2 linked regions of the Astyanax mexicanus genome follow. The protein of the gene in region 1 interacts with the protein of each later gene in a pairwise test. Links are inferred from orthologs where the notes say so. Each region holds a gene or a part of one and is shown in the gene's direction. Other genes may lie near its edges.

Evidence for each region.
Region 2: the proteins of grap2a (region 1) and garem interact in binary tests that used the Homo sapiens proteins (3 or more experiments, as listed by UniProt). The link is inferred for Astyanax mexicanus from reciprocal best matches to the Homo sapiens genes GRAP2 and GAREM1.

Annotation. Positions count from the first base shown.
Region 1 is NC_064426.1:7,148,026-7,159,042, forward strand, and holds the start of grap2a (GRB2-related adapter protein 2a), read left to right. Parts: upstream 1-6,692; 5' UTR 6,693-6,815; intron 6,816-11,017. UniProt on the Homo sapiens protein: Interacts with SLP-76 to regulate NF-AT activation. Binds to tyrosine-phosphorylated shc.
Region 2 is NC_064415.1:33,924,342-33,934,597, reverse strand, and holds the start of garem (GRB2-associated and regulator of MAPK protein 1), read left to right. Parts: upstream 1-5,869; 5' UTR 5,870-6,075; coding exon 6,076-6,196; intron 6,197-8,785; coding exon 8,786-8,926; intron 8,927-10,256. Other genes in the region: ncf2 (neutrophil cytosol factor 2), read right to left, coding at 1,052-1,160, 3,386-3,468, 3,683-3,856.

The DNA of each region.
Region 1 (11,017 bases):
GGTTGAAAACCACTGGCATGAGTTATATAACAGATTTTGATCTCCTCCTGTCTCTCGTATGGTTTTCAGTATCAGTTTCCTCATCAGATTTTGTCATTCTCGTTCTCAGGTTCATGTTATTTTCATTCATGGTCACTTTCGCTTCTGGAGAATCTCCTTATTTTCTGGTTTTGATGGTCACTTTCATTTTCATTGATTAAAACAAAGTAGTCTAAAAATCAAGCTTGACAAGCTCTTGAGATGACGGCAGTATGTGGACAGGCATTGTCTTGTTGAAATAGTGCACTGAAGTTTGTATTTAAAAAAGGTAGGAGGGCTACTGGTTGCAGGACCTTATTAATGTACCACTAGGCTGTCAAAGTGTAACGAAAACTAAGCATGATCTGCAGTTGTGCAAAACTGCACCTCACACCATTACACCAGGTTTTCTAGATGTGTAGGACATGACACAATATAGTTTTGATTAATACATCCATTGCGCCGTCAAAATTACTACTACACTTAAAAAAAAAATGATGCGTAAAATTGACTTAAAAAAAAGGTTTTGCAACTTCCTGCATTTGCTTTTTTTAAGTAAGTTTAATTTTAGATAAATTTAAGTAACTTCAACTCAGTTTCAATACTTAAATGTTAGACAGAGTAAATAAGTGAACTAAACTTCAGTCAATCCTTACTTTAATTAAACTTCATTTATTTTTGCAAAATCAATTCTTTCTTTTAGCAAACTTTACTTCATTTCTGCATACAATAGTACCTAATTACAACTACTTAAAGTATACAATATTATTGTACATAATTTTAGTTAAAACACACATTCAAATATTTACATAATCTCAAAGATTTATTTTGTAAACAGACCAAGTCTCACCGTCTCCACACATGGATGGCATGTAATACATTTTTAGTATACTTTATATATTTTTAGTATACTAAAAATAATGTATTACATGCCATCCATGTGTGGAGACGGTGAGACTTGGTCTGTTTACAAAATAAATCTTTGAGATTATGTAAATATTTGAATGTGTGTTTTAACTAAAATTATGTATAATAATATTGTATACTTTAAGTAATTGTAATTAGGTAATATTGTATGCAGAAATGAAGTAAAGTTTGCTAAAAGAAAGGATTGACTGAAGTTCAGTTCACTTATTTACTCTGTGTGACATTTAAGTCTTGAAACCGAGTTAAAGTTGCTTAAATTTACATGAAATTAAATTATATAAAGGATCCTTCAGTTTGGAACAGTCTTTTATGATGTAGTGGCCAAAGAAATGCAGCCTAACTTGGCTCCAGCCTAGACTTTGGAACACAGTCTTTAGAGTCCAACAGTATATGGTCGAGCATTGTCCTGTTGGAATAGTGCATTGAAGTGTGTACTCAGAAAAGGTAGAGCCACAAGCAGCAAATATCTCCATTTATTAAAGGACCCAGTCAGGGCTGGACTGGGGAAAAAAATCGGACCTGGCGTTTTTGGTTTTGACCGGCCCCTTATAATTAGCGTAGCACAACCAACTTGTAATTTATGTATGTGGTGTTACAGAGAAGCATAACGTATCATTAGCATATTAAATATCCATTAAATATTTTTTTCTGCTGTGTGTAGTGCAATTGATTTTTTATCCTTCTTATTGAAATCATCTCTAATATGTATTTTTTTTTTAAATAAACAGATCTTAATATTTTTTTTTTTTTTTAAAGTCAACCTGAAATTTAAATCTGACCTTGTGTACCTCGTTAATTCCTGCCCCGGTCCTATTAATCACAGCTCATCATGTTCTCTCATTTAAAAGTCAAAACCATGTTTTCCTCCAACCTTTTCATTTGACTTTTGGAGCACATAGGGCACCTTATCCCATCCTTTCACTTAACAACTAACAGAAAGTGCTGAGCTCTCTTAAAGACACCCTGATACTCAGAAATGAATCATGGTATAGAACAGAAACCAGACGACCACTGTGGTTCCTTATTCATATTCACTTAGAAAGAAGAATTTCACAGATTTTCCTTATGAAGCCTGACTCTGCAATCTAACACAGGCTTTTTAAGCTGGTGCACTGTAAGCCTGGATAAGTTGAGTTTACTTAAAAAAAATTAGGAAACTGGTTGCCTTAACCCTTGTGTGGTGTTCATATTTTTGTTACTCGTTTACTTTGTTACTTGTATTTAATTCAGCAAAATTAAGCAATTTTACATTAAAATGCTTTACATATGCTCGCTTCACCTAAATTGCAAGCAATATAAACAGCTTACATGGTTAATATTTGCCCTTTACCTTTCTTATGTTACATTTCTTTTCAATTTCTTTTTATTAGTTTTTTAATAAAATGTAAAAGAAAATGAATTAAACTCAAGATATAAGTAGAAAATTTGTTTAGTTTCAAATTTACAAATGAAGCAATGTTTATTAACCCTTGGCCAAACATACTGTATGTAATATAAATGTGTAGGGGGGGGGGGGGTGGGGGTGTACAGTGTGTGTTTATCGAAAATGTGTTTTGATATATGTTTTTCACAAAACATGAGCCAATGAGTTTGAGTTAGAAAAAATATTTTTTTAGTATCATTTGATGAAAAATAAAAACACCACACAAGGGTTAATAATTAGTTAAGTAATGGGGAATGAAAACTTAAGTTAGCATAACTCAAAACATTAAGTTATTACAACTTTTTTATTTTAGTTATACTGTAAGACCGGATAAGTTCAGTTTACTTCACTTTTTAAGGCTTGCTTCTAAGGTTTGTCAATTTGTTTTTTTTAAGCAATGGGGGATGAAAACTTGAGTTAACTTAAATAAAAAATCAAGTTATTACCACTAAAGGGGAAGTTCATTTATTTCTAAGGAAGCCCAGGGGATGGAATCACTACACACTGATGGTGAGTGTTTTGTCGGAAACTGTTGGACACACCCAGTATGCAAATAGATTGTGACAGAAGCCAATGGAAAAGAAGCTGCCAATAGCAACAGACTAAGCTCAGATATGATACAGTCATATGAAAAAGTTTGGGCACCCCTATTAATCTTAATCATTTTTAGTTGTAAATATTTGGGTGTTTGCAACAGCCATTTCAGTTTGATATATCTAACAACTGATGGACACAGTAATATTTCAGGATTGAAATGAGGTTTATTGTACTAACAGAAAATGTGCAGTAAAAAAAAAAGTGGTCTCAATACAGTGCACTTTGCACAAGGAGAAGCTGTATGGGAGAGTGATGCGAAAGAAGCCATTTCTGCAAGCACGCCACAAACAGAGTCGCCTGAGGTATGCAAAAGCAAAAGCAAAAGCACACCTCAGGCGACTAAAAATGATTAAGATTAATAGGGGTGTCCAAACTTTTTCATATGACTGTAAGTTGGTTCAACTCAAATATCTCAGTTTGAATAGTACAGTATATGTGCTCTCAAACATTCAACTAACTCAAAATAGTTGAGTATTGTTTAGAAATCTCCAATTTTATGTAAAACAGACTTAAATCATTTGAGTTCAAACAGCTTATGGGTTTACAGTGTATACAGTTTGGAAACACCTTAAATTTAAGGGATCTGTAGATCAATACTAACTTCATCCAAACTATGAAGAGAAACATATGGAATTATTTAATTAACAAAAAAGGAAATATTTTATATTTTAGATAGCTTACTCCGGCTTACTACAATGGCAGTTTTGCACATCTTGGTATTTTCTCAGTTAGCTTCATGAGGTATAGAGTCACCTGGAATATCTTAATTTTTTTGCTCTCCTAATGTGTTTAAGTGCATCAGCTGTAAAGTTGTGAAGAGGTAGATTTGGTGAATAATACAGTGAATAGCTCTATTTGAGTAATGTTATTAAAAAATTAATGGCAGGAATTAATCAACTAAGTAAAGACTTTAAAAAATGACTTTAAGAAATGAAGGTCAGTCAGTTGCAGAGACCATCAAAAATGTTATGATGAAACTGGCTCTTATCAGGACCCCCCATCCCTGGAAAGGAAGAGCAAGAGTTTGCTCTGTTGCACAGGATTAGTTCATCAGTGAGTGAGTTACCAGCCTCAGAACCCACAAGTTAACAGCTCCCCAGATAAAAGAACCTAAATGCTAAATAGAGAGTATTTTGGTTTATTTAACACTTTTAACTTACTACATGATTCCATATGTGTTCCTTCATAGTCTGGATGATTTCAGTGTTCATTTACAAATTGAACATTAAGCATATTAAACCAATAGAAATATTGAATAATAAGGTGTGTCCAAACTTTTGACTGGTACTGTATATGAACAGTTAATTTGCAAAAACAGATAGAAGCCATTTTTTTAAGCATACAGTACAGGCCAAAAGTTTGGACACACCTTCTCTTTTTCAGTGCGTTTTCTTTATTTTCATGACTATTTACATTGTAGATTCTCACTGAAGCATCAAAACTATGAATGAACACATGTGGAGTTTTATGTACTTAACAAAAAAAAGTTATTTTCTAGTTTCTTCAAAATAGCCACCCTTTGCTCTGATTACTGCTTTGTACACTCTTGGCATCATTCTCTCAATGAGCTTCAAGAGGTGGCCAGAGGTTCCCAGAGGTGTTTATTAGCACTTGTTGCCCCTTTGCCTTCTTCACTCTGTGCTCCAGCTCACCCCAAACCATCTGGATTGGGTTCAGGTCCGAGGACTGTGGAGGACAGCTCATTTTTTTTTATTATTTGTTAAGTACATAAAACTCCACATGTGTTCATTCATAGTTTTGATTCCTTCAGTGAGAATCTACAATGTAAATAGTTAGAAAATAAAGAAAATGCATTCAATGAGAAGGTGTGTCCAAACTTTTGGCCTGTACTGTACCTTTAATTATTTATTTATTTATTTATTTACAATTCATATACTCTTTGCTATCTAACACCCCGTCAACAGTCTATTTTCCCACCAATAAAATAGCGTCTGAGCTTAGGAACAAATCTACACTGATGGTGTGGTGTGATAGTCTGGAAGTGAGTTGTGTTCAGGAAAATGTATAGCTTGTTGCTATTTGGATGGCAGAAAACATAGGAGCGCCACTGACTGAAATGAACCTAGACAACAGTCAATCATCAGAGTCCATTCCTATACAAGCCCGCTCACTAAACACACACACAGAGACGCAGTGCAGAGCTCAAACCTGACTTTTAACTCAACGATAAACAGAATAAAGTATAAAATAATATTGCTGTTCTCTTAAATGCGTGAAAAAAAGCATGAACATGCAGATCAGTATCCCCTGCTGAGACGCAAAAAGTGCTGTGCTGTTAAGATACGAACGTGCCAAAGTCAGAGCTCACCTGCCTCTTAAAGGTAATGGTAAGTGTCATATTGATTGGTTTATTTCACGTTAAGCTTAAAATACACACATGATTGGTTAAGAGAATTAGTACACACATTTTTTGCACCCTCACAATACCAAAGACAAACTGACACGCCCCTAAATCCAGCTGCGTGATCCGCAATTGACCAGTGTACTGTAGATCACTAAAATAGGGCACTACATCTGTATATGTACTACAATAAATTTTGTCCATATCAGTGTAAATTGTTAATAATTTATCGCTTCTCATAACCTTTATTTTTCTTTTGAATAAAATTGCAATGTGACCCTTCCATGTGGGTGCAACTATTTTTTTGTTTGTGTAATTACTCTCAAATAAACAATAAGAGTTATTGCTTCTTTGTGTACGAGAAGTACATGCCTATCATATGACTGTTCTTTTATATATAGAGCTCTGAAAAAAGAGACCACCTAAAAATGATGATTCTCTTTGATTTTACCAAATTGAAAACCTCTGGAATATAATCAAGAGGGAGATGGATGATCACAAGCCATCAAACCACCAAGCTGAACTGCTTGAATTTTTGCATCAGGAGTGAGTAGCATAAAGTTATCCAAAAGCAGTGTGTAAGACTGGTGGAGGAGATCATGCCAGAATATGCCAATATGCATGAAAACTGAGATCAAAAACCAGGGTTATTCCACCAAATATTTATTATTTCTGGACTCTTAAAACTTTATGAATATGATCTTGTTTTCTTTGAATTGAAATGAAGTCTGAAAGCTCTGCATCTTTTTTGTTATTTCATCCATTTCCCATTTTCTGCAAATAAATGCTCTAAATGAGAATATTTCTATTTGTAATTTGGGAGAAATGTTGTCTGTAGTTTATAGAGTAAAGCAACAATGTTAATTTTACTCAAACATAAACCTGTAAATAGCAAAATCAGAGAAACTGATTCAGAAACTGAAGTGCTCTCTTAATTTTTTCCAGAGCTGTAACACTTCTTAAGTGATATCAGCACTACAATAGTAAATCATAGGGCTTTTTTTTTTGTTTGTTTTAATTTATTGTTAATTTTATGTACAGTATCTTATACCATGTGAAAGCCCCTACTGCACTGTAAACCATGTGAACATTTCATCATGAACAGAATTAGCATCACATATAACAACAACCGAAACTCACAAACCACAAAAGACCCCCAAACCCTGCAGTGAATCGATACATATATATATGAACGGTATATTTAGACGGTGGCAGAATGCTTTTATGAAAATAGCCGTAGCACGTATTGAGTCTGATGTATAAGCAGGCACTGAAAGTTGATGTTGGACGGTGAGATAAGTTGAATGGTTTGCTTGTTCTGCCTCTCACTTCTGCATTTTGGCTCTGGGGTTGAATACCGTGTCCTGGAAGGAAGCTAAACTCAACAGCACTGACATTTGAGGAAGGAGGCTGCTGCTGGCTGGAGAGGAGCTACGCAAAAAAAAAAAAACAAGGCTCGGATTGCTCTGCGAACCCAAAAACACCAGGGTAGGTTCTGTATCTCTTTCCTGCAAGGTGACGAACTGTGTTTTTTTTTTTGGGAGTTTTATTGTTAGCAATGAAAAACAAGTAAAATGTTCATTTACAGTGAACATACTTGGCTGAATTGAGTAATATAACATCAGAGTTAGTTGTGCAGTTGAAGTTGTGCCATGAGTAAGGTTTTTCTTAGTGAAATTTGGGTCACACTTTACTTGGATGGTCCATCTTACAGCCTTGTTGATGCTCAACTGACATTCAACTAACACTGAATTGAATGTCCTTTAAATTGAACTTAACCCTATGTTAAATGTAAATCATTCAAAATAGAACTTAACCCTACATCTAACCCTAACCTTAACCCTTAATCAACCCTAAAATCTAACCCTACACCTAACCCTAACCTTAACCCTTAATCAACCCTAAAATCTAACCCTACACCTAACCCTAACCATTAATAAACCCCTTAAAATCTAACCCTACACCTAACCCTAACCATTAATAAACCCCTTAAAATCTAACCCTACACCTAACCCTAACCTTAACCCTTAATCAACCCTAAAATCTAACCCTACACCTAACCCTAACCTTAACCCTTAATCAACCCTAAAATCTAACCCTACACCTAACCCTAACCATTAATAAACCCCTTAAAATCTAACCCTACACCTAACCCTAACCATTAATAAACCCCTTAAAATCTAACCCTACACCTAACCCTAACCTTAACCCTTAATCAACCCTAAAATCTAACCCTACACCTAACCCTAACCATTAATAAACCCCTTAAAATCTAACCCTACACCTAACCCTAACCATTAATAAACCCCTTAAAATCTAACCCTACACCTAACCCTAACCATTAATAAACCCCTTAAAATCTAACCCTACACCTAACCCTAACCTTAACCCTTAATCAACCCTAAAATCTAACCATACACCTAACCCTAACCTTAACCTAAGCTTAAAATCTAACCCTACACCTAACCCTTACCTTAAGCCTTAATCAACCCTAAAATCGAACCCTACACCTAACCTTAAGCCTTGATCAACCCTAAAATCTAACCCTACACCTAACCCTAACCTTAACCCTTATTCAACCCTAAAATCTAACCCTACACCTAACCCTAACCCTACCCTTAACCTAAGCTTAAAATCTAACCCTAAACCCAATGCTAAAATATTGGATTAGAGCTGAATGTAGGGTTATATTTAATAGAGAATCATTTACTTTCCCCTTTTAGTTCATTTGCATTTAATAAACATGTAGTTGAATGTTAGTTAGGGCACAAAACAAATCCATGATTAATTGGCGTGACAACCCATGACAAGGCGTGAGGTGCAAGATGTATTTTTTTGTGCCCTCTCGATACCAAGGACACACAGACACACCCTAAATCCAGCTGCCTGATCCAAAATTAATCGGAGTCAGAGCTCAAAAGTCTTAGCTTTTTTTTTTTTTACATTACATCAGCACCTTTAACAATTTTATTTTGCAAGGTCTGTGTTTAAAGTAGACTTAATTTTAAAAAACTGATTAATGACACTTTTTTTAACTCTTTTGGATTACCTTCTGCTGAATAAAAGCACGTATAGCAGTTTGGGAACTACAAGGTTGGAGCAATATTCAAAAATGTCAAGAAATGTCAGACTACCTCAGAACTGTCTGCAAGGCCTCAGTTTCCACGTGTTCAAATAAATAGTGCCAGATCAGGAGATGGCTAAACTGTAAGAATATCATTTAATTTTCGTTAGCTAATTCCTCAGTTTGTGATGCTTGGTTAGGTTAAAATCTGAAAGACCAAGACTCAAACTCTCAGAGAATTTTCATTTAAAATAAATAAATCAAAAGTATACTGTCAAAATAAAAGAAAATCTATTTGTTATATATTATTTACTATACAATTCTTTAAAAACTAAATACGCTTTTAGATGATAAGTTTTAGCAGTTTCTGTAATTTTACATAAACATATTTTTGTTATGCTGATATGCCATCATCACTATTGAAGCAGTTACAATGCACAAGAACACTTTGCCCCAATAATCAAAAATAAATGTACAATAATAGTCATTTTTGGCAACAGGAAGTCCTAAAAATGTCTATAAAACATGTCTATAAAAGTGACTGGCACTCCTGATAACAGAAAATGCAGATTTCTTACATGTATTTTTATAAAAGTTTGAAATAAAATGACTAAATAGTTGCCAGTTTTCAGAGACAATGTCCGACACGGCTGCTGCCACAAAATTACAGTTTTATTTTGTATTTTTTAGCAGCATATTGCAGTCTATTGACACTTAAACTCCACCTAGCAGTGGCGTGCACAGACACTTTGGGGGGCAAGTGCTCAGGAGGGAAAAAGGGCACTTTTTAGCTCATGTGGAACACTTCATTAAAATAAAAGTTATCTATCATTGATTTGGGCTAGAGCGGCTAGTTTATCTGGTGACCAGTCGGTTAAAGATGCTTAGTAGTTTGGTGCTGTATGAGACATTTTACTGCACAACAAACTGATTTCACGTTGGGCTTAGAGGGCAAACGGTAGGATTTTACTTGATGTGTATGTTACCTGGCTGGTGGGACACGGAGGAGAAGAAGCTGTTGTTATCTGTTGCTGTGCGTACTGTGCTGAAGACTCGCTGAACTGAACTGCTGCTGCAGCGCATCTAGTGTGCCTTGCGCGCGACGGCCCGGGGTCACGTGACAGAGGAAGAGAGAGGTCGGGAGTGTGCGAGCTGATTTCAGGGCATTCTGTTTTCACTCGTTTTTAATCGCTCAGGTTTTCAAAAGATCATTTATTAAAAAGATCACTTAATAATATATATATATATATATATATATATTTTTTTTTTTTTTTTTTTTTTTTTTAAACAAAGTTTCAAAAGGACACTTTGGTTAATAAAGGGCAGAGTTGATGTCTATGTCTGCACGCCTCTGCCACCTAGTCAGTAAGTACACTGCACTGACACTTTCAAGGACAATTACATATTTAAAAACTAATCCTGTCACTTTACCCGCACAAAGATACATTATCACTTTATTGTGTTTATGCTTTTCATTCACACTTACGTATCCATGATGCTACAGCAAAACTTACACTCTGAACGTAATGTTGCTGCTACTTCTCTACTATATTTTATTCTATTCTATTCTATTTTATTTTATCTTTATATTTATCTATTTTAACAATTGCTCTTTGGGTGTAACTGGACCGTGAGAATACAATTTCGTTCCAAAGTGTTTTTTATGAACTGAACATGCAAACGTTTGCTTTTGGCCTCTTTTCTTTTTTGCTATTTTAATTATTTTATTTCAGAGATCGATTCATTTTTCTACTGACAGTAAAAGGTCATTGGATCAGGGGTCACTGAAACGTGTGCATGCTGCTGAATATCAGATTGCAGGTGTGAAGACCTGAGCAGTGTTGGTCAGGGTCAGGTTTTTATACCCAGAAAACTGGGTCAGAACATTTCTGGGGTGGGGTTCTGGAGTGTCCCTAGTCAGCAGTGGGTAATTTTTTGCCAAGAACGTTTGAGGAAAGACAAACCACAATCCAGAATCAGGGTGAGGTTTGGGTGCGCACACTTTAAACTCTTTAGTAGACAAGTGTAACTAAAGCTTTAAGCAAATCGTATTCGGTTTTTCAAATCGGATCTGTTTAGATGACAGAAAATGTCTGTATGGGTAGCTGTGGCTGGCTTCTTAAACCCCAACATCTCTGTATCTCACGCGGGCCAGACGAGACGTAGACATGCGCAGGTTTTTAATGTAAAGTTTATGAGCAAAATGGTAAAACTTTAATCAATCAATTACTCAATCAAGCGATCAACCTTTATTTTCACTCGGGAAAACATTGAGGGTGACCCTCATTTACAATGTTGCCGAGCGTTTACAGCATCAAAGAGATTGAAAACATTTAATAAGAAATTAAAAAAAATAAGGAATAAAATTGTAAAAAATAATAAATAAAATAAATACTCATTTTAAATCAACATTTAATATATATATATATATATATATATATATATATATATATTCATAAAATATATATGTAAAATAGAACATTCTAAAAGACCATAAAAAACTAAATTGACACATAAAATGTTAAGAATTTATAAAATACAAGAAATAAAAAAAAACTAAAGAATGATAAGAGATGATAAAATGAACAATAATGAAGTAACATAATATAAGAATCGAAATATAAAA
Region 2 (10,256 bases), on another chromosome or scaffold:
GCTTTGGGTCTCCAGTGAACCACTGTGAAAGCTAATATTTACAAATGAAGAAAACATGGAACACTGGTGAACCTTCCCAGGAGTGACCAATCAACCAAAATTATTCCAAAAGGGCAAGGACAGCTCATCGAGGAGGTCACAATAGAATCCAGAACAACATTTTAAAGACTGTAGGTCTTTTAGCTCAGTTAAGGTCAGTGCTAATAACACATAATACATAATGGCCCGTCTCACAATTGCCAAAAAAAACATCTTAATGATCCCCAGGACTTTGGCTAAATATTTTTCGGACTGACGTGACAAAAGTGGAACTTTTTGGAAGGTGTGTGTCCCATTGCATTTGGCATAAAACTAACACATAATTCCAGAAAAAAAGAATACCACACTGAATGTAAAACATGGTGGTGGTAGTGTGATGGTCTCAGACTGCTTTGCTTATTTAGGGCCTGAACAACGTGCTTTTATAGATGGAACCAGGAATACTGCTGGTTATCTGTTTGTGACCTCAAGCTCAGCCGTACTTGGGTTCTGCAGCAGGACAATGATTCAAAGCACACAAACAAGTCCACCTCTGAATGGCTTTAAAAAACAAAACAAAGGTTTTGGAGTGTCCTAGTCAAAGTCTGGTCGAAATGCTGCGGGATGATTTTAAACAGGACGTTCATGCTTGAAAACCCTCCAATGTGGCTGAATTACAACAATTCTGCAAAGAAGAGAGGAACCAAATTCTTCCACAGAGATGTGAAAGACTCTTTACCAGTTATTGGTAAGCTTGATTGCAGTTGTTGCTGCCAGTGGTGGCACAACCAAGTTGTTAGGTTTAGGGGCAACCACTTTTTACACAGGTCTAGATTGGGCTTGAATAGTTTTTTCCTTTAATAAATAAAACAATTATTTAAAAAATTATTTTTAAATTTATTCAGGTTATATGTGTCTGATTTTAAAGTTTGTTTAATAATCTAAAAAATATTGTTATGACAAATTTCACACCTCTATTTTTATTTATCTAATTTTCTGTTTACAATCATATGTAAGTCCAAACAGTTCTTACCTCACTAGCATAAAGTTTATACCTCAGGCCAAGAGGTTTGTAGTCTATCAACTGGTTTCCTCTTAGCTCCTTAAAGGCTTGCTGGAAGTCCAGAAGTGATTCCTCAAATCTGTAAGGAGATATATTTAGATATTACGCTTTATTTAAATCTGCAGTGCAAGCTCTACTGATAAAAAAAAACGAAGCCCTTTCTCAACATGTTTCCTGTTAGTGAAACACTGTGGGCACTGCAACGTTACATCAAATTCCCTCCAGTTTCACAAGGCAGACAAGAGACACACCACAAGCTAACATTTGTGGAAAATGTAGCTAACATATTAAAGATCATGTACTTCAACACATTCTGGCTGAATGGATTTGGTCATCTTATTTTAAAAGGAAGTGTTTTAATCAGACAGTTTTGTGTGCAATAAAGGAACAATCTGGTGCGCAATTAACTTTGGGTGTAGTGTAGGGTGACCAAACGTCAGTATTTCACGTCCTGTCCCAGGCGTCCCGGGTTTTTTTCAAAAAGTGAGGAAATGTCCTAGTTTTTAAATGACCTTCATTGGACCATTAAATTTACAGGCACTAGGGCACTGCGCACGGCGCTGCATGTGACATAATCCCTGAGCCGCCTCAGTGAGAGCAGTAGTGTCAGTCTCACAGTCAGAGCACCTAGACCCCAAGGAACAAGTATGAGTGTAACCAAGTGACAACTAAAATGTGTATTTAACTTAAATATTATGGATTTATTGTGAAAAAAAAAAAAAAATTAAGCATAGATGCGTTTTGGACTCACGCAACAATGCAAAAATCTCTGAAGGATTTTAATAATTATATTTTATGGTAAAATCTATAGTTAGAGAGTGGGGACAGGTAACAATGCTATATATATATATTTTTTTTTATGTTGCTAACATTGGCTGCTTTTGCTGTATTTCGTAATCCAGAGGGCGTAAGAATATGTTTTTTTTAAACAAACGTTTGTCATGTTTCACTACATCCCAAGTCCATTTCACACCTGATTTCTGCTTTAATGTCATGATTACTTCACCAGACACTTTACAGTTTTTCAGATCAGGGCCAGGCAAAGATATAGCCTCCACACAACAAGGTCTGGTTACATATAACAGTGTTACATATAACCTCCCCAAAAAACATAAAAAAAGTCCATGTCCCCTCATATATCAGTGCTATTGTTCTGATATGTATTATCAGAATACAATTTGCCATTTATGAGATGTTTTTATTTCTCTAATCCTGTTTATTTAAGTTCAGATATGTATGTGTGTTTTGACATGCCAAAAGTCATGGAATAGCAGTGTGCAAATTTATTAATTGTGAAGTATTGTTTACATCCTGGGACAGCTTGGGAGTACGAACACCTGTAAAAGTTGCGAGGTGTTGTTTTATAAGTGTGGCTGAACACAGGCAAAGTGAATTATGGGAATTACAGCAATTTCTAATAGTGGGTGCCAGATAAATGGATCATTCCATTTCTGAAATGGTGCAAGCACAGTAAACAGCACGCACAGTGGATGGTAATGACAGTGACCAGTGGTGTCTGGTGAGAAGTCACATCCATATGCAGTGCAGGAGACGGGCAGTGCATTGTTCTTTAGCTTAAAGACTAGTCAAATCTACACTGCCTGGCCAAAAAAACGTAGCCACTAAAAAAAAGTTCACACAATCTAATATTTGGTTGGATCACCTTTAGCTTTGATTGCAGCACACATTTGCTGTGGCATTGTTTTAATACGCTTCTGCAATGACACAAGACTTATCCAGTGTTGCATTCATTTTTCACTGATCTTGCAATGATGATGGTAGAGTCTGACCGCTGCACAAAGCGCAGAACATCCCAAAGATTCTCAATGAGGTTAAGATCTGGACTCTGTGGTGAACAATCCATGTGTGAAAATGATGATTTCATGCTCCCTGAATCACTATTTTACAATTCCAGCAACATGAATCCTGACATTGTTATCTTGGAATATGCCTGTGCCATCAGGGAAGATAAAAGAATTCATTGATGGAATAACCTGGTCTATATTCAGTATATTCAGGTAGTGAGCTGACTTTTTTTTCCCCAGGCAGTGTACTTTCAGCCACTGTTTCAATTAGCTCTTTAGTCTGTTACACTAAAAATCCCTATGAGATGTTTAGGGTTTTTGTGTAAAACATTTTGAAAACTCTTTTATATATAATATTTTTCTAATAAAATATTTAATTAAAATTATTTAGCAAAACAAAACAAAAAAAAAACATTGATTCAACCTTCACACTTCCCTACTTATTCTGTTGCATGTGGCAAAATTAAACATGGTACTAAATAATCACTGAAGCACTTACTTTTCTTTTTTGTAGAATGTAATTCCCCTTTGAAAAAAAGCCACAGCCAGATGCTCATCTTTTCTGATACTGCAGTCAAATGCCTTGAAATGAGAGATTAGAGAGTTTCCTCTTAAAAGCCTGAAACAACTTTTACTTCTCCTTTTTCAAAGTAACATTTATTTTAAGAAGAACATTAGAAAACGATACTGTAGCATTCTGTTTTACAATATTTTAAGTTTTGAAGCTACTTATTATAATCTGATAACTTTATCTATGACCTTTTTGACAAGGCCAAGAGTCTACAGTCGACTTTACCTTCTCAGCAGCCTCAAAGTCATCAGCGTTCAGATGGAGGCATCCAATGTTGAAGGCGATTTTAGAAGTCTTCTCCTCAATGTCCTGGAATGTCCTGAGGGCTGCGGCTACATCTCCTTTCTCTGCATAAGCCACTGCTTCATCCCACTGCCGCAGAGTGCTCACAAAAGACATGTTCCCTTCACTGCTGCTGAAACCTCACTGAAATGGCTCTTCCCTGTTATTGAGAACCAACTCAGCTCGGAACAGCCTCTTACTGTCAAAGAGGAAGTGCTTCAATCAGAGCTGGCTGCTCATTATTTCCTATGGCAGATTAACTTTCTCTGTAACTGTATTAGAGCTGGCACAGGTCCAGAAAAGACAATGGACTGAGAATCCCCCCCTCCATTCAATTTTATTTGTGTGGTCATTTTACAACACACACATTGCCACAAAACAGCTGTTCCAGGAAAAGTAACCCAGAAACAAAAAAATGAAACCAGCCCCATGACTGTCTTGTGCAAGGCTGATGGATTTGAGATCTTTTTATATCCCTCCTCAGACTCGTCTACATCTACAACCTTCTTTCTACAGTCCTCAGAGAACTCTTTGAGTTATGAAACTTTAGCAATCAACAGCAAACCAGACTTAATATCTGAGGTTTAAAAAAGACAGGCTCCTCCAGAATCCTCTCTAACCATATTCTAATCAATCACAGCTGATGAGCTGGACCTGGTTTAATAGTCTCAAAAGTTGCATTGACATATACTAATAAAGATTAAACAAAAAGGGGATGACAATTTATTAGGTTAATATAATGATTACACTCAGAGAACAGAAAACAAACATTTGAACATATTTTTAAGCATGGGGTGCTGTTAACCTGCGGTTTCTGAGGCTGGTAACTATGATGCAACAGAGGTAATTTTCCTGGAGCAGTCCTGATGAAAGCCAGTTTCATTTTAGATGGTCTTTGTGACTGCTCTTGGGGATACTTTCAAAGTTCTTAAAATTTTTCGGATTAATTTACCTTAATTTCTTAAAGTCATTTTTTTCTTTACTTAGTTGAGTAGTTTTTGCCATAATATGGATTTGAACATAATTTAAATAGGGCTATTCACTGTATACCAACTATACCTCTTTACAACTTTACAACTGATGCTCTCAAACACCTTAAAAGGGCAAGACATTCAAGACATTACTTCTTGACAAGTTCAGCACAGCTGTTAACTGAAAGTCATTCCAGGTGACTCTACCTCATAAAGCTGACTGAGAAAATGTTGAGATGTTTAAAACTGTCATTCACGCAAGGTGTTACTTTGAATAATGTAAAATATATATTTTTTAAATGTATATGTATTTCTTCATAGTATGGGTGACTTTAGTAATAAACTATAAGGCAGAAAATATGTAAATATATGTAGCTTTTTACTATCTTGAAACTCTGTATACAGGTGTATACCACAACAACTGGTTGAGTTTGAGGAAATGTATAAAACGATTTTGTGACCTAATTGCTCTTGGTTCACATCAGTACAACATGGCAACATTTTTCATTTGAAAAATGTGTGATTTTAAATAAACATTTCTCCTAAATTTCAAATAAAACTATTGCCATTTAGAGCATTAATTTGCAGAAAACGAAAAACAGAATGAAAAAGGAGTTTTTATATAAATAAATAATGCAAAGAAAACAAGTTCATAATCATAAGGTTTTAGAAGTTCAGAAATCAATATTTGGTGGAATAACCCTGGTTTTTAATCACAGTTTTCATGCATCTTGGCATGTTCTCCTCCACCAGTCTTACACACTGCTTTTGGATAACTTTATGCCACTCCTGTTGCAAAACTTCAAGAAGTTCAGCTTGGTTTGATGGCTTGTGAAAATTCAACTTCCTCTTGATTATATTCCAGAGGCTTTCAATTTGGTAAAATCAAAGAAACTCATATTTAGTAGTAGCCCATACTGGGGAGGATTTGGCAAAGCGACATTTATCTATTTAATATTTTGTTATGATTTTAATATTATTAATTAGGATTATTATAAGATTATTAGATTATTGTTTCATCTTCTTATATTTTTCAATAACGCATAATTGTCTGTTTTTATATGAGATAAAAATCTGTATTTATGGATTAGGAGGAGTTTAGCCATTCACGGCGGCGGTTTCCCGGGCAACCCGAGCAGCCAGTGGTGTGAGAGGAGGAAGCGGCTCCAGATCTCTATGGTCAGAGAGAGCCATGGCATTTCCTGTGAGTGTAAACAGAGCCGTCGGGCTGCCATGGCCTCGTCCTTTAGGTGAGGGGGAAAGAGCGGCCGCCGGAGCGCTCTCTCCATGAACCAGCAGCCGCTCTGCGCCGCGGGAGAACTGGGCGGTGAGGCATGAGGCGCTGGTGTTAGCGAGCGAGCTACCATGGACGTGGGTTCAATGCTGTACAACAGTTTGAAAGATGTGACCTGGAGCTCCACCACTCTGCCCCTGGATCGGCTGGTCAGCGCCTACAGACTCCCGCAGATTGTGAAGCTGGACGGCGGTAAGGCTGGACTTATAAACTGGACTTTAATAAACTCGGCTGCAGGTGTGGGATGTGTTTTTGGGCGGCTTTAGTTGGTACTAGGCGAGTTTTGGCTCGGATAAACTCGCTCCAACTCCCGAGCGTGGGTGGCGTTGTAGCTCGCCTGGAATTCCGAGCATTAGCTCTGGCTGGTTAGCTTAGCACGCCTGCTAAAGTTAGTTAGCTCGTTAGCTCCATTGTCAGTGCTGGTGGACTGCTGGCCATCATAAAGTTAGGTTAGCCAGCCTTTAATAATAATAATATTGCAGCAGGGAAGCGTTAGCTAGCTGTGTTTTATTAGTGGATATCTAGGTAATCTAGCTAGCCATGTTCTTTCTAACAGGTCAGGTCAGTGTTAACCACTGAAACTAAAGTTACAGTCCATAATGTCGAGTAACAAAAATATTATTAGCTAGCTTAGGTTAGGTATTCACAGACTAGAGGTGGGTAAGGCAGCTCCAGAAAGTAAAAATCCACCACAGGGTTTTGTACCATCTGCCAGCTGCAGCAGAGCCGCCCAGGCAGTTGGTACAAAACCCGGGGATGGATTTTTACTTTCTGGAGCTTGCTTACCCACCTCTATCCCAGACTCACCATATTGCTTATATTTTTTTAGTTTAAACGCCAATGTTGAATCTAGTTTACTTTAGGTGTTGTCAACAGAGTTGAAACCGCTGACCTAGTTATCTAGGTTAGATAGTATTGTTCTTAACTATGTTATGTGCAGCTAAGGCACACTGAACTATAGCTAAAGCACTAAAGTCAGGTCCAGCCCGTAAACCTGCTAGCGGTTAGGAGCTGTAAATCACAGGATCCGCAGAAAGGTTGGTCTTCTTGCTCTCTCTGTTGGTGTAGGAACTGGCTTGACAACAGAGATTTGGTTTACTTACAGAGAAAGATTGCCCCAGTGATAACTGTATGCATATGGTTGTCAAGGCTGTCACAATTTGAAGACATTTACTTAATATTTGAATGAACAAAGCTTGGTTCCAGATGTTTGTTGGACACAGTGTTCAATTCCATCACCAGCTTCCCTGATATAACGTCATTAAGCACTGACTTAGCAAACTAGGTGTTTGATAATAACCAGGCCTCTCACAATAATTTGCTACATTATTGACTTATCATACAATATTGTGATCAACAAACCTTTTTTTTGTTAACACTAATATTGGCCTTTTTGTTTAGTTTCTAAGATGAACGCATTAGCTAAGTTTGTAAATTTATTTATTTTTTTGTTATAATTAGGGCTGCAACTAATGAGTGTTTTGTTAGTTGACCAATCTAACGATCAGTCGATTAGTCAGCGATTATTTTTACAATGTTCTACATCTGTCAAATGATAAAAACAGCTAAAAAAAGATTTATACGCCATTTAAATGTCTAGATGTTGTTTAAACATGGAAAGTTCAGAGACACAGACTAAGTTGAGTGTAACCTGTGTGAGTAACCCATTTATCTCACATTGTGTTTCTGTCCATAGCACTTGTGTGTAATGTGTACTGTTACGGTCACAAATTAAGTATTAGTTGACAATGAAATTTGTAGTAGACAAATAAAAAATATATATAACATTGTCGATTATATCGACTTATTGTTGCAGCTCTATTAATAATTAGTAGGTAAATGCTCATTAAAGATGTTCATTGACGACTAATTGTTAACCTGTAGCACTAAGCAAAGTACGAAGGTCAGAAACACAATGGGAAAAGGGTAACACTAAACTTGACCTGCATCTCCAAAAGTGCCCAAACACATCAGATGACACACACTAAATAGCTGCACCATCCAGAACAATGTTCAGGACATTTAAAGAGCATTTAAATCCCACATTTAGCTGTTGCTATTGTTTGGAGCGACAGAGAAAGCTAGAAGGAAGAAAAATAAAAAAAAGTAAGGAAAATAAAGTTTTTGCACTATACTGTATACATTTAATATCATGCTTCTACACAAAAAAATCTGTCCTTTAGCTCTGTGATCACAAAACTCTCATCATCTTATTTCACCTCCCAAATGTGCTGAAATGCTGAGGTAATATTACCGTCTGTCTTAAATTCTGAAGTAATTTGGGACAAACCATTGAGGGAAAATTCTGGGAACTGTCTGGCATAATCTCCTCTGCCTGCATCCACACAAAGCCTGAATCATTAATAAGGAACCCAGATGAGCACTTTAATGGCACCCTGCTGTCTGTGACACATTCACTTCACTTAGTCAGGTCAGGAGCTGAAAAGATGAATAACTCGTCTGGGTGGGAATTAGTGAATGAAAGTGATTTGCATGGAGATGCAATCTGGAAAGGCTACATCCGTAGATTTTTATGTAAATGACTTCCCTGAGCATTCCCTCGAGTTGAGAACGCAGGCTTGATATTAGCTTAATTAAATTCAGAGGGCTGGCCTGGTTTAACTCTGTTACAATATTTCAGTGTTGCTACATGAAACATTTATTTGTGTTGAGATTATATCTCTGAATGCCTGCTTGTCTCTGTGGCCTTACCTGACTTATTGTGCTGATACTATAGTGTCATATTTCCATATTGATGTAGATAAGTGTCTTTTTCTCCAGGGGAATCGGTGGAAGGGCTAAGAGAAAATGACTACCTCTTGATTCATTCATGTCGGCAGTGGACCACGATTACTGCTCATAGCCTGGAGGAGGGCCATTATGTCATCGGACCGAAAATCGAGATCCCTGTCCATTATGAGGGTGAGGCCTCTCATAGTGTTGTGTAGGGCTCTCTCTCTCTCTCTCTCGGCTGTCCGCAAACACTGTACATTCTTTTTGCTGTGTTAACAAGATGTATGTATATGCCTTGCTCTTACATGTGTAATATTTTTAGACATATAAAACACTAAGTAATAACAGAACAATTGTCGGGAACAAAACATGAAACAGTTCAAGCCAAATAAAGCAGAGAAATTGTCATCATAGTAAAGCTATTGCATCTGCTATGTAGGCTGCAGCATTTTCCATCAGTTTTACGCTGGCAGGCAATTATCTAATTGACCCCTCCATATAGACGTCACTCTAGTGACCGAACAAATGCTGAGGACTGGAAAAAAGGTCATTCACTTTCAGTTTGAAAATTGATGTTCAATAAGTGGCAGTAAATTCCCTGATATTTATGTAGCTACTTAAATTAAGAACATCAACCCCATTGTTGCAGCTTATGTTAATAAGTGCTCCAGTGATGCAATCTAGTTTTAATGCTTTGCAGTGTGGACTTTGCAATGTTTGTTTACAGCAGAGGACGTGGTCTGATAAAGTTAATCTTTTAATTTCCAGTTGTAAAAGAAATGAAAGTGTAAGCCCAGTGGAAGTGTTATTCCCTGCTATTTACAGCTATATTAAGTCTAAACGTTTTATGCAGTAAAAAGTTTTATTTATATGTATAAATATATTTTTATTTTCGCTACTGGTTTGAATTTTTTTGGTTAGAAACTATCTGCAGGTTAGGTTTAAAGCAGGAAACATGAGTTGTGTTTGACCGATGGAGATGGCAGATAGCCTTGTTTTTATAATTCTGCTGAAGGTTGCCATTTTCAAAGCTACACACACACTGCAAAAGCAAAAAATCTAAAAGAAATTAGTAAGGACTATTTCTGAAAGCCATTTATATGTGACCTTGTTTCCATATGACAGAACATAAAGAGCAATAAACACAAATAATAATCCAATTCACTACTTTAAATTTATTTTTATAAGTGGAAGTATTCACCCTTGAATCTTCTGACATTTTGTAGTGCTACAGTCTGGAATTCAAAGATGTTTTATTGAGATTTTATGTCATGAATCAGTATCAAGTAGTCCATTGTACTGTAATAAAATTCAGGTGTAGTCTGCAAATAGTTTTTAAATAAAAAGCATCACATTATTGCTCCAGTATTCACCTCTTTAAAATACTTTTAAATCCCCTAAATTATTTCTGGCTCAATCAAATGCTATCAAAGTGTTTCCAGAGGGACTTCTGAGCTTGTTAGATAAGTATTGCCTAATCAAACTGCATTATGAAGTCCAGGATAAAGTCAGAGTTTGG